Cricetulus griseus: one gene and its partners. The protein of the gene in region 3 interacts with the protein of the main gene of each other region in a pairwise test. Links are inferred from orthologs where the notes say so. Each region holds a gene or a part of one and is shown on either strand. Other genes may lie near its edges.

Region 1 (5,536 bases), on a different chromosome or scaffold from region 3:
GATGATGTTACCACTGTGGAAAGCAATGGCACCACTTGTCTTAGCATATGACATAGGAACTCCATTTCTTGGTATCTACTCAAAAGAATTGAAATCATACTCTCAAAGAAGTATTTTATACTGGTGTTGATTGGACCATCACTGATAATAGCCAAATGGTTAGCCATTCATTGCTGAACACATAAAGCACAGCATCTACATGGAACATAATGTCATGCTGCCTTAATAGCTGATACATGCTAAAGCAAAGATGAACCTGGAGAACATGATGCTAAGTGAACTAAAATTTGCAAATGCCATTTGAGTCTATCTGTGACACATGTAGTGTCAAATTTTAAAAGGTAGAAAACGCAGCGGTGGTCTGTAGAGGCTAAAGGGAAGTGGGATGAGGTATCGAGATTTTTTCCCTATAGGATAGATGAATGGTGGTAAATGTAATACAACAACACAAGCATAATTAATCCCACTGGCATGGCTATGCTAATAAATTTTACATGTATTTTTACCATGATTAGATAGACATCAACCATCTCAGCAAGCTGTTATCAAATAAAGAGCAGACATTATTACTCAGGACTCAAACCGTGAACACATCCAGTTTTTATTATTATGCATCCTCCTCTTGCCCCCAAAGGACAGAACATGGTTCAGGCTGCCAACCACAACCCTGATCAACTATTACCTGACCTAAGATGGGCACAGAGATTTAAAGATATACTGACTCCACTAGAATGAGAGTTTACAATGTAGTTGGGCAGAAAAGGCAATGACTGCAAAGAGAAATGAATTCAGAAGTGCTGCAAAGCTCTTGCTAAATGGATGGAGTTATGGGCAATGAACTCAAGGAAGTTAGAATAGGCTCCTATGGGTGGGAACAAGAAGCAACAACAAAAGGCTTCAAGGGAGAGGTATAAAAAGACAGGTACAATTTTGGACCCTGGGAAATATGTGAGAAATGGTTCAGGCCAAGGGAGTCTCTGCAGAGGCCAGAGCATCTGGGGAATGTCAAGAGGAACACCCAAGGAGTGCCCTGGTGGCCAAGCTGGTCTGGTTAGAATTAAAGCTGAGTGCAGAGGAGGAGTGAGACATGAGGCTGGAATGATGTCTGAGACTCAGGTATGGAGCGTGAGATGACATGCAAGGAGTTTGTACAACAGTTTTGAAGCAGGGAGCATCACGATGTCTGTGGAAAGATTTAACCCAGAAGAGAAGAGAAAATATTCTAGAGAGCCCGAGGCAAGGGCTTTTAGCTGCATTTTGTTTTAAAAGTAAGCACCCTTTGCTCCAGCATAAGCCCCACCTTTCATTCCACCATTGGTGTTTCCTTGGTCTCCACAACCACCTAGACCCTGTGGCCCTGGAAAGACATCATCAGCTCTACAGTTGTCGTTACTCTCTTGCCCCTGGTTGCAGCTATATGGGCTAGGGCCTTCAGAATCCAGGCGGCATGGGTTAGATTCATGACAGCCTAGTTCTTGGTGGTAGGGGACTGGAATAGGGCCTGAGCAAGGACTGGGACAACGCATGGGCTCCCCACAAGGCTCTGGGCTGGAGCAGCGCTCAGGATGAGGTATGGGCTCAGGATATGGACAAGGCTGTGGGTGCGGGCGTGGTTCTGGGTTCTCACAGTGAACTGGGCGCGGGCGCGGCACTGGACGTGGTGCTGGACGCGGTGCTGGTTGAGGAGCTGAACACGGTTCTGGATATAGACATGGTTCTGAAAATCGCCGCAGTGGAGGACATGGGCGGGGTTCTGGACTTGGGCATGGCTCTGGACGTGGACATGGACGTGGTGCAGGAATTGGGCACCTCTGCCATGATGGTTCTGGAGACAGGTCACGACGCTGTGGCTCTGGACAAGGACGTGGTGCAGGAACTGGGCACCGCTGCCATGATGGTTCTGGAGACCAGTTGCGACGCTGTGGCCCGCAAGACCTTGGGAATGGCTGTGACTCTGCACGTGGCCTTAGATCTGGGCAGGAGACACCCCAAGAAGGTTGCCGGACACAGCTCTGGGATCTTCCTCTGATGGGAGGAATCTGGACAGGACACCTCTGTGGGGGAACCTGCCTGGGGCAGCAGGGTGATGAAATCTCTACCCTGCACTTGGGTCCACATCTTTGAGAACAGCCCGAAGGGCGGCCCCGAGGAGGACAGGGGCTGCCATAGATTGGCTCTGAGCGGCGGGGTGGGGTGCAATAGTTGTAGGATCCTGAAGAGCATCGGGATGGCAGGCAGCTGCTGTAACCGGGCCCAGAACGTCTTGGTGGAGAGCAGCTTCGGTAAGAAGGCTGCAGCTGACGAGGAGGGAGGCATCTGCTAGTGCTCTGAGACCGACGCTGCTGAGTAGTGAAGCTTCCGTAGGAGCCCTGAGCCTGGCATTGGGGTGCACAGGTGCTAAAGGAAACCCCAGACCGACGCTGGGAGGAGCAGTTGGTGTAGGATGCTCGAGACTGGAATTGGGAGGCACAGCCGCCATAGGAAGCCTGTGACTGGCGCTGCGGTCCACAGTCAGTGTAGGAGGGCCCTGATTGGAATTGGGGTACACAGCGACTGTAGGAAGCCTGGGACTGAGACTGTGCACCACAGTTATAGGAACCCCGTGACTGTGACTGAGAGGTGCAGCTGCCATAGGAGCCCTGATACTGGCCCTGAGTGGAGAAACTTCCCTGACCCTGGCCCACTGAGGGACATTCTACATAGGTGCGGGCAGGTCGAGGAGTCGGAGCAGGCACATAGGTCGGAACAGGATATTCCACATAACTAGTTTCTGTATAATATACTGGAGCACATTCCACATAGTAGGTCTGAAGAGGTTGTGGGACTTGCACATAGGAAACCTGAGACTGACATGGAGCCTGGCATTGAACACAGGAAACCTGAGTCTGGCAGGGAGCTTGGCACTTTACCTCAGTGGTCTTAGACTGGCATTTCACCTGGGTGGTCTTTGATTGACATGGAGCCTGACATTTAACCTTAGTGCTCTTGGATGGACACGGAGCCTGGCTCTTCACTTCAGTGGTACCCGACTGGCATGGAGTCTGGGAAACTTGAACTGGGCCTGGTGTAACATATTGCAGAACTTGCATCTCACATGGAGCTTGGACCAGCACTGGGTTGTTGGCATAAGAAAACTGTGAGGGACCAAAAGAGGAACCCTTGACACAGCACTGAGGTACCGGCACACAACACGGAATTTGCTGCTGGTCACACATTGTCCTGATGTAGGTGGGTGAGCAAGACCTGAGGGTAGAGAAACCAGGGTCAAGAGGCTCAGAGTTGGGAGAGAGGAGCTTGGGTCCAGAGCCAGGAGCCTGACATCTTCTCTGGCTTGTCTTCATACGCCCTCAACCTTCACCCAAGAATCCTTACTGATAGTAATTTAACTGGAGCCCATGCTGGTCACCATTGTCTATGCGTTTTGCCAAAAAGGGTGGATTCTGTACAGCTAGATATAAAAGTATGTATGCCAAAGTCTGCCACCAGAGAGCACTGCTGACAAGCACATTCTCTACACTTAAAAAGTCTGGTGGTGGAAATAGTCCTACGGGAATAACAGGTGACAGCTTGCTTACAATGCATAGCCCAAACTGAGGCTTCCACACCCATGGAAGCCTGGATTTCCTCACACATCCCACACATGTATGTAAAAATGAGCACAGGGAAAAAAACAAAAACAAAAACACAGGCATCATCTAGGTTCACATTACATCAAAGAGTCTACTGAAAAGCAAAGGATTCAGGCAGATTCTGGACATGTCAGTCCTAGAGCTTAATATTTGCTGCCTGGCATTCAATCTTTTTAAAGTGAGTTCACTTAAATAGACACTCATAGAAATAGGCAAATTTATTTATACTTCATATACAAAACACACTAGTCTTGGGATCAACATGTGCATTTGCTCAGGCAGGTTGCTGCTGTTAGTGATCTGGAGGGTGACAGTCTGCTGGCTTCAGAAACATTTTCTCCTCAGACCTTATGAGATGTAGGATAGTTAGTGAAACTGAGGTAACCCAGAGACTGGCAGATCCTTTGTCACATTCAAGGCTTTGTGTAAGGACATTCAGGCACACTTATAGAGCTATATAGTAAGGTCATAACAACAAGACTTAAGACATTCAGGCATACACTCCTATACTACCCTTAGTAACATGAAAACACAGCAGCTCCCACTCAGCTGTTCTTTCCAGAGCCACCTGCCTGTGTTCAGGTAGCCCAGTGACCAGCACAGCACAGGCCTAATTTGGCAATAGAACCATACAACACAGCACCTCTTACAATCTCCCAAAATACCAAAAATACTTCTATTGGAAGACAGAGCTAGACATTTTCCGTTTGTTACAAGTGTTTGTCTGTGTTCCCTAGAGCGGGTGATCCACACAAAATAAATAACAATGTATCTTCTCCATGGAAAACAAGTTCCTAACAAAAGAAAATGGTACCTGGAGAAGAAACCAGGGCTGTCAAAGATAAATACACTTTACAGCCCATAAATTCTATATGTTTTATATTTCTTAGGTGGTTTTTCTCCTCAGACTGATGCACCTCTGCCCCAGGTTCTCCCTTAATCATTCTTTTGAGTCTGGGAACCCCTTGTACATCACCCCCAGCACAATCCCAGGACCAAGCTTCCAGACTTACCCTCTTCAGCAGGCTCAAAGTCATTCAGGCTAAGGCATCTGGCCAGAGGGCTGTGCTTATATAAAGAGTTGTGGGTCTGGCTCAGACCATGAGACAGCTGGTTGGCATCTGCCCAAGGTAACATTCCACCAGCCAATTCCCTCCCCATGTGCTGTCCGTCTAGTCACCTACAGAGCTGGGAGTGCCTTGCCTTAGTGCTGAAGCTTCCAGGCTATGAAGAAGCAGATTATTGTTTTCCTCTTCCATTTTCACCCTATCAATTCCCCCCTCCATTCCAGCGGAACCCAGTGGTGAAGGTGGTGAGGAAGCATGAAGGTATCATGTCTCCTGGAAAATGATCCCATGCCCTACCTTCTCCTTGCCTCCAATTCTCACAAGACAGAAGCATCCCTTAACTTAAAGCAATTGAGTTTAAAGTCTAAAATCCTGTCAACTTTAGAATGGCGAAAGTTGCATCTAGTGTCTCATGTTGATGATTTACAGCTTGGGGACCTTTATAACCAAACTAGGTATGAATTTACTCTTCTACAAAATGGATAAAATTAAATCTCCTTTTTACAGTTGTCATGGAGACTACAGCAATTCTTTCATACAAACCCATCTTACCATACAAAACCAATGATGTTCAAAATATCCAACATCTTCTCAAGAGTAAGTGTGCCACAAGCAACAGATACAGCTGGGTCAATGGGTATCTGCTCCAACCCAGTCTGAAGCTGAGGAGACAGGTGGCTGTCCAGCAGGTGCTCAGCAGATGGTATAGAGCAGTCTTCCAAAGCAGTGTAAGTCACTTAATGTGATGGAGTAGCCTTTGGAGACAGCACAGTTCAAAACAGAACTGACAAGGTGGCCCCATGAGCCACATAAAAACAAGTTGGTTTGTCTGCATCTTGT
Region 2 (5,857 bases), on a different chromosome or scaffold from region 3:
TCCTCCAGAAGGCCTGCCTCAGTGCTCACCACTGGGGAGGTGGACATACTGGAAGCTCTGGCCTGCAGATGGGGAGCTGGATCAAGGGCAGCTGAGGGGGTACAGTCTGCTAGAAGAGACAGTGGTGGGTTTGACTTGGAGGAGTGTGTGTGTGTGTGTGTGTGTGTGTGTGTGTGTGTGTGTGTGTGTGTGTGTGTGCACTCCAAACGGTAGATAATATGCCAGCTAGTGACTTCAGTGTCCAGAAAGAATAAATAAAACTGTTGAGCTCCAAACAGAGAGGGTCAGAGCGAAGAGCCTCAGAAGGCTCCGGGTGCATGAAAGCTGTCCAGAAAGACTTGAATGGGTGACTCACGAGTTGAGAGGGAGAGCACACTGCCATCCCGTGAAGAGACTGAGGGCCAAGCAGAAGCACCGGGCCCCACCTCCAAAGGGGAGAAGGGTCTACCCTCCCCCAAGCAAGTGGCACAAAGATGGGAGCGGCAGTGCAGGCAATGGACATCTTGGGGGCGTGAAAATTCAGTTTTGGAAAAGCCAAGGCAAAGGCGAGCGGTGCAGCAGCAGCAACAGGATGGGGACCACGGAGGGCGCAGGTAGTTGCGTTTCTTCTCCACTTCCTCTCATTCCTGGGCTCACAAGACCTGGAACCGCCACGAGGCTTGGTCCTTATAGTCCAGACAGTCGGGAGAGTTGAAGTTGAGTTTCCAGGCAGAGGAAGCAGCGGCAGCGGCAGGCTCCTTATAATCCAAGCAGTCGGCAGAGTTGAAGGCGAGCCCAGAGCCTCCATAACCTTGGTGATGGTGGTGGTGGTGATGGTGGTGGTGGTGGCCTGAAGATTGGCTCAGTGGGTGGTGTGCGTGCGGGTGGTGGTGGTGATGGCCAGCCATGGAGGAGGGTGCCATGGGGCTAAGCTGGTGCGGGTGGTGATGAGAGTGCATGGGCGCTAAGTAGGAGCTGCAGTCTACACCGCCAAAGTAAGAAGAAGAGGGCGCGGGGTAGCCCTGGCCGTAGCTTCCGCCCTGGCCATAGGACATGGGGTAAGAGGCCGCAGCAGTGGCGGCACCTGCGGCTACCGAGCGTTGCATACAGGAGGCGTTGCTCGGTGCGCCCAGTGGCTCTGGCACGGACACGGATGGCGGTGCTGAGCCTGGCGAGATGGAGGCCGGGCTCCAGATGGACGAAGCAGTAGGCGTACTCAGAGAGGACGCGGCTGCCACCGGGTTCCCACCCAGGCCCGCGGCCGCAGCAGCCGCGGGATTGGCGGAGGCACTGGACGCTGAGCTAGACGAAGAGGCCGAGCTAGACACGGCAGGCGGCGTGAACTGGCCGCTACTCTCCGAGCCCGAGCTCTCGCGCACTGGAGACGACTTCTTCTTGACCGGCCGGCTTTTCGTTCCGTTCCCGCTCTGCTGCTGCTGGCGGCACTTGGCACGGCGGTTCTTGAACCAAACCTGCAGTGAGCAGGGTGAAGGAGAAGGGATCAGGGGGCTGGCTAGTGGAGCTCACAGCTCCTCCGCCCCTCGGACTCACACCCCGCCCAGGATCTCAGGGACCTCTCAATCCCAGCCTCTACCCCTCCCAGTCTCTGGCCCTGCCAGACCCTGTCCCCTCCCCCGCACGTGCTAGGTCCCCAGCTCTGGCTCCCTCCCCCATCCTTCTGCGCAAAGCCCCCAGTCAGCCTCCACCGCAGGAGGGATGCGCACCTCCCCAAGCCCAGCGCAACTCTGCCCAAGGGCGGAACGTTTGCGTCTGTCCAGCCAGAAGTTCAGCCATCTCTAAGCTGTTGCAGTTGGCTGCTTCCCCGCAGCCCCGTTTTAGTTTGGAGGCCCTGTTTTCCAAGAACAGAGCTCAGGAAACAGCGGAGAGTACAGAACATCGGAGAGTAGGGCAGTCACCAAGTCTGGGGCCCGAGGGGTTTCACCGAGTCGGCTCCTGGAGACTGGAGTTGGGCAGGGCAAATATTTGGGTGGGAACAGAAGCAAGGCTGGAGGCTGAACTGAACGGAAGCAGTACTCCAGTACTGGGATTCTCGTGAAGGAAGCCTGGGTGAGGTTTCCTTGGGCCTTTTGGCTCCAGGTGGGGTACCAAATGGAACGATAAGTCATAAATTCGCACTCCTTTTGGAGGGGCCCGGACACGGGGCATTGCATTCCCAGTCCCTTCTCGAGCCTTCAGGGAAAGAAGTTGAGACAAAAGACTCTCGAGGAAGAGTTTTAGACTAACTCAGAACTCCTATTTTCTGAACTGTTTCATTTTAGAAACAGTAAACCCAGCATCTGGATTTTGCACTCGGCCTCCACTCGGCTGGAGAAAACTCCAAACCATACCGACTCCACCCTCAGAGCACACTCCAAGGCAGATTGCGCTAGGCTGTGACCAAGTTCCATCTTGCACTTTTAGAATCCCCAGGACTCAAGGGAAGGGTAAGAAAGACAAGAGCGGAAGGAGAGCTAAGGCTCAGTAGGAAAACGCCAAATTCTGTTGTAGCCAGGAAGCAGGGGCCATTATCTAACCTTCTGGGAAAGTTACACCCGGGGGACACGGCTGGCCTTTCCAAAATCCAAAAACCGACTTTCAACAATGAAAGCGCCCTGGGGACAAGGGCTAGAGAGATGTTGGGCTCTAAGCCATTACTTTTTAAAATGTTACCCCCCTTTAGCTGACTGAAGCCCAGCACTAGGGGGAGTTAGAGAGGGGCTGTCCAGTCAGTGAATGGGCCCCAACACCAGATGGCCCAGGTCGGATCTTCCCCGACCGCTCCTAGCGCCCCTACCCTAATCCTAGAGTCCCAAAGACCACGCACCTGGACTCTGGACTCTGGCAGGTTGATCTTGAGCGCCACCTCCTCTCGCATGAAGATGTCCGGGTAGCGAGTCTTTGCGAAAAGGGCCTCCAACACGTCCAGCTGTGAACGCGTGAAGGTGGTGCGTTCCCGTCGCTGCTTCCGCGGGGTGGCTGTGGGGACATACAAGGGCACCTGGAGTCAGCAGTGGACCTCGAGGACTGGAGCTAGAGGCCACACGCAGGTCTTCTGGTAGGTCCAGAACCCTGCCATGGAAAGGAAAGGCCGACCTCCGCGCAAAAGCAAACTTCCCTGCCCACAGGTGGGGCAAAGTGTATAAATTGGGCTAGAGGCTCCTGTCTGAAAGAAACATCAGGGCCTCAGCCCTCCTTGTCTCTCAGATAAAAAACAAAGCCATCCCCTCCTCATCTCCCTAAGCCCACTTCTGGCTGAAAGGTAGGAAGTAGAACAGAGGTAGGTAGAAACAGGACCTGGGAAAGCTTTCCAAGTGAATAAATTCAAGCAAAGAAGTAGGATCCAGAAAATAAATTCGGGGTTCAGTTGGAGTCGTCTGCCACCACGGAAGAGCTGGGTCAGGTCCCTGGTCTCTAGGGCACTCTGACTAGGGAGAAAGAGCTCTGCTTCTCAAGGCAGCTAGACATAAGGGAAGTTTGGCTGTTTACATTAGGGCCTATCGAGTCCAGATTCCTCGTGAAATGTTTGGGCGGGCAAGATTTTATTTTTTTAAAAAAGCAACCGGTGGGAAATACGTCGGTGGACAAACATGCTTTCTCTAGCATGTGAGACCACAACAGGAGCAGGCACCACAAGCTCAAAAGTTGTAGGTCACAGTTTCTAAACTCAAACCGGAGAGCCTGTAGCAGATCTGGGCAACAGACACAGAGATAATCATATCCCTGGGCCTGTTTGGGGACTGTGTGGGCTCAAACGTTAAAAGCTGGAATCCCCCAATATTTGCACAGGCTTGGGGGTAGGGACATAGGGCCACCGCTCACCAGGATAGCCCACAGAGGGGTGTAGGAGGTCCATGGCAGGGCCAGCTAGGCCCAGCCCGTTCATGCCGTATGGGGGTTGTTTGAGGTAAGACATCATGCTAACTGCCGGGTGGAGGCGCCCCGACGGATCCAGGGGGCCTGGGGCCAGGAGCAGTTCAGGGCTCCCACTTCGAAGTCCTTCAAGCTGTTGCTTCTGGGGGCCTGGCCTAAGGAGACAGGAGACACATGGAAACCGTCACCCGCAGTCACTTTGGCTTTCAGTTCCTATAATCCTAGAATGGGGAGGGGGGCAGGCTAGGAACTTAACAGGGCAGGCAACCCAAGAAATTTCTCCTCCAAGCTCAGCAAGCCGGCTTCTTAGAAAAGTAAACTTTCCCCACATCGTTCCTTCCTCTTTTAGGGCTTGACAAGGGCCAAAGACACTCCTTGAGTGTCAACAGGAAAGAAAACTTAAAAGCGCGATCAGGCCGAGGAGGTGAGAGCCGGGACCGGGGAGGGTGCAAAATCCCAAGTGTAGTCTTTTTTTTTTAGTGCTGCGGAAGCAATTTGCTCAAGCAAATGTTCACTTGGCGCCGGGATGGCAGGCCGTACAGAGCGTACGTACCGGGTTATTTTGTTTAAGTTTCAAATGTTTTTGAAAGAGGGACAAAACCGCTGGCACTACAGAGGTCCAAGGTTAGTACCCCTTGGATCGCCCAGGCAACTGCCCATTTTGGTCACATCATTCCTTCAGAGATCTCCAGAGCAGCCCCCTCCCCCAGAGTCCCAATCACCATTCTATCTGACCTCTCTGGGCCCCTGACGCTAGGAGATGGGTGAACCGGAATTTCAACGCACTTCTAGGGTAGATGTGGCCCAGGCCCGGGTGAGGCGGCGAGAAGATGCCAAAGGCGCCACAGTAGAAGTGGCAGTTTCAAGAAGCCGCCCAAGGTCAGGGGTGCCTCAAAGACGGTCACCCGTCCTCCTAAGCCCACGCAGGCCCGACCTTCTTTCTACCAAGTCCGAGAGAGCACACCGAGTCCCACCAGGGTCTGATAAAGGATGACCAGCCCAGCGGCTCAAAGCATGCTGGGGAGTTCAGAAGCCAGAGCACCCTGGATCGCGTGGGCTCCTCGCCGTCCTCTCCTGAACTCGGTGGAGAGCAGAGAACTAGGCCTCAAGTCGGAAAGCTCCCGCACACCCAAGCTGGGAGCGCTAGGCTCGGCCGAAGACACTGCGAGCCCCTGGCGCTCTTCTCCAGCGGAAGAAGGGGTTCTGGGGGGGTAGGGCTGGGACCCGAGAGGGGGGCTTCTAGCTACACCCGGCTTTACAGGGAGCCCAGGGTGGGAACTCAGGGAAAAAGGAGGCAGGACTTAAGTAGCTTTCCCATCCCAACTCCAACCCCTGCTTCGGTCCTTGGGGTCCCGCGGCCTGGACTAAGGGAGACCAGCAGGCGCGGAAGGCGGACGGAACCACAAGGGAAACAGCGCACTTGGGCCGGAGAACCACAGGCCACCAGCCGCCGCGGTTCTGCGAAGGTGCTGCGTGAGTTTTCGAATACTTAGATCTAACTTAGCACCCCAGCTCCGCAGCTTCGGAGGAGGCGGGGGAGGGGTGCCCGGCTCAGCAGAGGCCTAGGGTTCTCAGCACAGCCAAGGGGGTGCCCGGCCATTCACCCCAGCCCCGCCCACCTGCCGGGGATCTGGGGGAGCGGGGGTCGATTCGAGGAAGAGGAGGCGAAGGGAGCCAACACCGTCCCCGGGCAGGGCGGCGCGCGGCCCCTCGGCTCCCTCCTTACCTGCCCTCCGCTGCCGGGGCTGTTCACCATCTACCTCGTGCCCTCAGCAAGACCCTCCGGGCAGCCAACCTGCAAAACAGAGCTGCACAGGTATTACCCCGGCGGCGGGTCTAGGACCCCCGCATTCCTTCTTTCCCCAACTTCCCTATTCCCGTCTCCTGCTTTTTCCAGGAGCTCTGTGCGTGTTTCCCCAGGTTTCACATTATTGCACAAATACTTTGTTTGCAAAGTCCCACATGCTTTTCCTCCCAAGACCTGGCCTCAACCGGGACGGGGTGGGGG
Region 3 (5,025 bases):
AGCTGCCCAGGCTCACAGTAGCTTTAGAGCCCAGGCTACAGTTCTGATCTGTCTGCCAGCCTCAACCTGCCCTCTTGTGGTTACTTCCCATATCACCCCAAGTGACTCCTAATGGAGTCAATGGACTCCCAACTCCAATGGTAGGAGTTGGGGGTGTTGGGCTTGAGTCATTCTCATATCCCTAGGGAAGAGACCAGAGTCCACCCTCTTCTCTCCACCTCCACTACCAGGTTTTCTTTACCCGGAATGGCAAGATCATTGGGAAGAAGGATGCCGTTGTGCCTTCTGGAGGCTTCTTTCCCACCATTGGAATGCTCAGTTGTGGGGAGAAGGTGAAAGTAGACCTGCACCCATTAAGTGGCTAGAGGCTTCACCTGCACATCTGCCCCTTTCCTTCTGCAGCCTCCCTCCAGTCTTCCCCAGGATTTGCTCACCATCAGGCCCTGGGAGGACATTACCCTTCCCCTACCAGCTCAGTCAGAGCCCAATCAGGCTGGACCTTCTGTCTCTGGGCCTGAGCCTGTGGTGATAGGAATGGGTATAGAACAGTGTTGATATATGGGAGGGTCCCCCTTGCTTTGGTCTGTGGGCACCTGGATCTCCTTATACCTTCCTGGACCCTGTGAGAGTTGGGAGAAGTGTAAGCCCACCTGCTATTTGGGCCGAGGGTGGAGTAGAGGTAGCCTGTCCTTATTCACCACATAATCCCCCTGAAACCTCTTTTCACCCAGTTGCTGCTGTCTCCCCCTGGCTGGGCTAGGGGGCCTGTCTTGGCTATCTCTCTTTTCACTGGCTGCTGTCCTAAATCACATCTAGGGTCTTCATTCTTTCCTTTGAGAGACAGCCCCGCTCCCACACTCAAGCATCACATAAAGTCGAGCCTGGCTCCCTACCTGCCCACAGAGTGCTCAGTATCTGTGTGAGAGAAAGGCCAGTCTGTGTGGCAGTGGGGGACTGTAGCCTTTGCTCCCATCTCCTTGTCTGCACTCTTCCTCAAGGCACCCCTAGCCCTGGCTCACCTAGATGCGGCTAAGGCACCAGGGCATGTGTTTTGTTGTGGCTGTTGCTCAGAGCTGCAACTTGGCCCCTTATGTCCCTTCCCCTGCCCACTCCCTGACCCTGTGCCCCAGCTTGCTGCTTGTGCCAGTTGACTGTTTTTGCTTCAGTGTATGATTCTAGCGTCTACATAGACCCCTCACCTGCAACCAATCCCCCCATCTTCTCCCCCCATTTCAGGGGCTCTTGGTCTCAGTTTGCACAGTGGGTAGGACTTGGGGGGTGCTATTGTGCTGCTGGGGCTCCTCTGCCCCTCCTTCCGGCCCCTGCACTATGATGTATGAAATGTATGTACAGACCAGAGATGTTTATACACCCAATAAAGATGGAGTTTCCATATTTATCAGGACGGACAGAAAGGGAATCCTTTCCAGTCAAAGGGCCCGGGCCAGCAGGTAGAGACAGCTGAGGGCAGATGGCCCCAGGGCAGTTGTGGGACACAGGCCAGCAGGGGCATGTCTCTGAGAGAGATGTACGTTTTTCTTCTTCCTATGAAGAAGTAATCAACTCCTCAAAAGTTTATAGAAATTCTTTATTAGTACACAAAAATAGACTCTCTTTTTTCCTCTGTTTATGTGATCCCACTCTGGTCTCGTTCAGAGGGGAGGCAAAAGCTCCCACACTTCTCCCCTTTCCCTCCATGATGGGACCTCCAGCTGGGTGGAGCTGGCAGGGCCATTCCCCACCAGGCCTCCACTACTGATACCGCCTCACCCCTTACACCTGTCTCTGCCATCTGGTCACATGCCAGGTCATCTCATGGGCCCACTCACTTAGCTTAGCAGGCAAGGGCAAGAACAGTGGCCCAGGCTGGTGCCACACTCTCTTTCATAGGGAGGACGCTGGCTCCTAGGGCTCCTGGATTCAGGCCAAGACAGTGAGAGCTGTGGGTGCTGGGAGAGTGCAGTGTTGATGTGGGCTCAGAGATTGCAGCTTTCCTTCATTTTCTCTGGCCCAGTAGAACTTTGGTGATAAAGGTGACAATGGCATTTGCTGGTTGGTCTGGGTCAAGCTCCGCAAAGAGGTGACACACATTTTCCCAGGGGCTTCCTGGTTTTTTGGCCACGAAACCAAAGATCCTACAGGGACAAAGCCAGGGAGGACCTTTATATTCCTTCGCCAGGAGGATGAAGCTGGCCGTGTGGGTCAGCTCATGCCTGTCTAGGGTTGGGCGCACAAGGAGACTTACTTGGACGTGGTTCCATCTGGGTTGGTCCATCTGTAAAGAGAGAGAGCCCTGAAGAAGTACAGCCGAGGGCACAGCTCCTGAAGGGTGAGCTGGAGCTGAGGGTGGGAGGACCATAGGTTGGGAAAGGGATCCAAGGAAGGCTCACCTGCGGTCCTGGGGGTCAGTGCTAGAGAAGGTGATGCTGTTCACTGGGTAATGACGACGAAAGAAGAGCCTGTGAGGAGTAGGTTGGAGAAGGAAAGTCACACCTCTAATCCAGGTTTTGGGCTTAAGAGATGGCTCAGAGATTAAGAGCACTAGCTGTTCTTTCAGAGGTCCTGAGTTCAATTCCCAGCAACCACATGATGGCTCACAACCATCTATAGTGGGATCTGATGCCCTCTGAGGGCATACATGCAGATAGAGCACATTAAGTAAATAACATAAAAAAAGAAAAGTCAGGTTTCACTAGTGGTGGTGGTGCACACCTTTAATCCCAACACTCCGAGGGCAGAAGCAGGCAGATCTCTGTGAGTTTAGGCCAGTCTGGGCTACAAAGTCAGTTCCAGGGCAGTCAGGGCTACACAGAGAAACCCCATCTTGAAAACCCAGGAGGGGGGACAGGGAAAAAAGAAAAAGAAATCCAAGTTTTGGAGTTGGAGAGATGGCTCAGAGGTTTAGAACACTGGCTGATCTTCCAAAGGACCTGGGTTCAATTCCCAGCACCCACATGGCAGCTCACAACTATCTGTAACTCCAGTTCAGGGGGTGCAACATTCTCACACAGATAGGCATGCAGGCAAAACATCAATGCACATAAAATAAAAGTAAATAAGTTAATTTTTAGAAAGAAAGAAACAAAGATTTCTGGGCTGGGGAGGTGGCCCAGAGGTTAGAGTACTAGCCATAGAGAATGAGTTTGAATCCCCAGGACCCATAATTCCAGCCTCAGAAAGCAGAGACAGAGTCCCAGGAGCAAGCTAGCTAGCAAGACGAGCTGCATCTCTGACTTCTGGGTTTGATTGAGAGAACCCTGTCTCAATAAGGTGAAAGAGAGATCCAAAAATATCTTTTTTTTTTTGAGACAGACTTTCTCTATGTAGCTTTGTAGCCTATGCTGCCAAAAAGATTTTTTCCCCAAGGTTTTTCAAGGTTTCTCTGTGTAGTCCTGCTTATTATGGAACTCAATATATAGATCAGGCTGGCCTCAAAATCAGAGATCCACCTGCCTCTGCCTCCTGAGTACTGGTATTAATGTCATATGCCACCACTACCTGGGACCAGAAAGATACTTAATTACCAAACTGGAGCCTCCACACATAAATGCAAACATGTATGTACACATAACACACACACACAAAGACAAAGAAAAATCCAGGCTCCCAAAGTCCTTCTTTGGGACTCTAAAGAGGCTGGTGCCCCGGGGCTCACTTTCTCTGGTTGTCTGTCAGTGTGATGCCTTGAGCTGAAACCTTGAAGTGGACAATGGCTGGTACTGGGTTGGGGCTGCAGCTCAGAGCTGCAGAACTGGCCCTGGCCACAGCTTGAGGGCCAGTGAGTGACTCTGTCTCCACGGAGGTCAGGTAGAGCACACTACAGGCTAAAGAGACAGGAAGAAGGTTGATGAGCTAGTATGGCTGTGCCAGAACCAAGATCTGCCACCTTTGAGTCACCCTTTAGCTTCTTGTCTAATATAATCTTCTCATGCTTTTCCCTGAGAGTGCTATCTGAATGCACTAGAATCACACACTGACAAGTTAGAAAGGCAACTCCCAGACTCCAAGGGATTTACAGCCAGCAACAGTGCAAGTTCTTTCCTCTGCTGCAGCTGTGACTCCTGTGTTGTAAACCCTGAGAACTTAGCCTGTGACCCCTTCCCTGCCTCCTGAAAATGTGGGCTCCTCTGCTTTTGTGGGGTTAAATGTATCTGCTGGGTCTACCTTCTACAGTCCTATCAATGCCTCTCCCTGTATCTGGAGTCTACAGTGTCCTCTTGACCACCAGGGAGAGGGAGGGGAAGCGAGTCTCTTACCTGCTCCCTGACGCAGGAGGTCTGCTGCTGTGCTCATGTTGGTGGGAACTGGAGCCTCTGGGGTTTCTTCCAGAGGATCTGAGGAGATGAGCACCACCAAGGAAGGTCAAGAGGGAGAGCCTTCCCTAGGTGCTAGTGGACTCCCTTAGCCACCATAAGGGAAGGGGTGGGGAGACAGGACCTCTGTATTTGGCTGTAGGAGTGATGAGAGCTGAGGAGACATTACACACCTTTACTGGGAATTCGAAGACAGCAGGGTAGGGAAATGGGAGAGATGGAGTGTTGCGAGACCAGGGCAGAGAGGCTGCCTGCAAAGGGAGGGGAAAAAATCCTGAAGGGCTTGTGGATAGCCTTCTATCTTCGCCCTCTTGAGGCCTCTCCCTTAACCAACCCCCTAGAACCCTCTGACACTGTTTCTCACCAAAATAGGGCTCAGTAGGACAACCCTTGATCTTCACGCCTTTGGGCCCAGTCTCAATGAGGAAGTGGCGCACCAACTGCTCTGAGGGGTCTCCTGAGAGGAGGGAGGGATGGTGAAAGTGAAGCTTTACTGAATTCCAGATTCTCAGTTTCTCCCCTCCCCCTCCTCAGGAACTCTTTCCTGAGCCGGGAGCAAGGGGACTTGCTTTGCCCCTACCCTTCATGGAGATGTCCTGTGCATCTCTCTACTTTTGGCTCTGCAGCTTCTCCCCTCTCCACACCCATTCCCTCAGTTTGAGGATGCTGTACCTTTTAAGGGCTGGGCGCTGGGTGGGGGTGTGGCCACTTT

Evidence for each region.
Region 1: the proteins of Tns2 (region 3) and Kprp interact in binary tests that used the Homo sapiens proteins (3 or more experiments, as listed by UniProt). The two-hybrid records come from large-scale screens. The link is inferred for Cricetulus griseus from reciprocal best matches to the Homo sapiens genes TNS2 and KPRP.
Region 2: the proteins of Tns2 (region 3) and Otx1 interact in binary tests that used the Homo sapiens proteins (3 or more experiments, as listed by UniProt). The two-hybrid records come from large-scale screens. The link is inferred for Cricetulus griseus from reciprocal best matches to the Homo sapiens genes TNS2 and OTX1.

What each region holds. Positions count from the first base shown.
Region 1 is NW_023276806.1:63,077,662-63,083,197, reverse strand, and holds Kprp (keratinocyte proline-rich protein), read right to left. Parts: upstream 3,216-5,536; coding exon 1,263-3,215; downstream 1-1,262.
Region 2 is NW_023276807.1:84,694,634-84,700,490, reverse strand, and holds Otx1 (homeobox protein OTX1), read right to left. Parts: upstream 3,896-5,857; coding exon 3,799-3,895; intron 2,956-3,798; coding exon 2,804-2,955; intron 1,452-2,803; coding exon 633-1,451; 3' UTR 249-632; downstream 1-248. UniProt on the Homo sapiens protein: Probably plays a role in the development of the brain and the sense organs. Can bind to the BCD target sequence (BTS): 5'-TCTAATCCC-3'.
Region 3 is NC_048595.1:398,514,419-398,519,443, reverse strand, and holds the end of Tns2 (tensin-2), read right to left. Parts: coding exon 4,986-5,025; intron 4,771-4,985; coding exon 4,678-4,770; intron 4,565-4,677; coding exon 4,487-4,564; intron 4,335-4,486; coding exon 4,257-4,334; intron 3,825-4,256; coding exon 3,656-3,824; intron 2,460-3,655; coding exon 2,391-2,459; intron 2,276-2,390; coding exon 2,246-2,275; intron 2,136-2,245; coding exon 1,997-2,135; 3' UTR 1,570-1,996; downstream 1-1,569. Other genes in the region: Spryd3 (SPRY domain-containing protein 3), read left to right, coding at 231-365. UniProt on the Homo sapiens protein: Tyrosine-protein phosphatase which regulates cell motility, proliferation and muscle-response to insulin. Phosphatase activity is mediated by binding to phosphatidylinositol-3,4,5-triphosphate (PtdIns(3,4,5)P3) via the SH2 domain.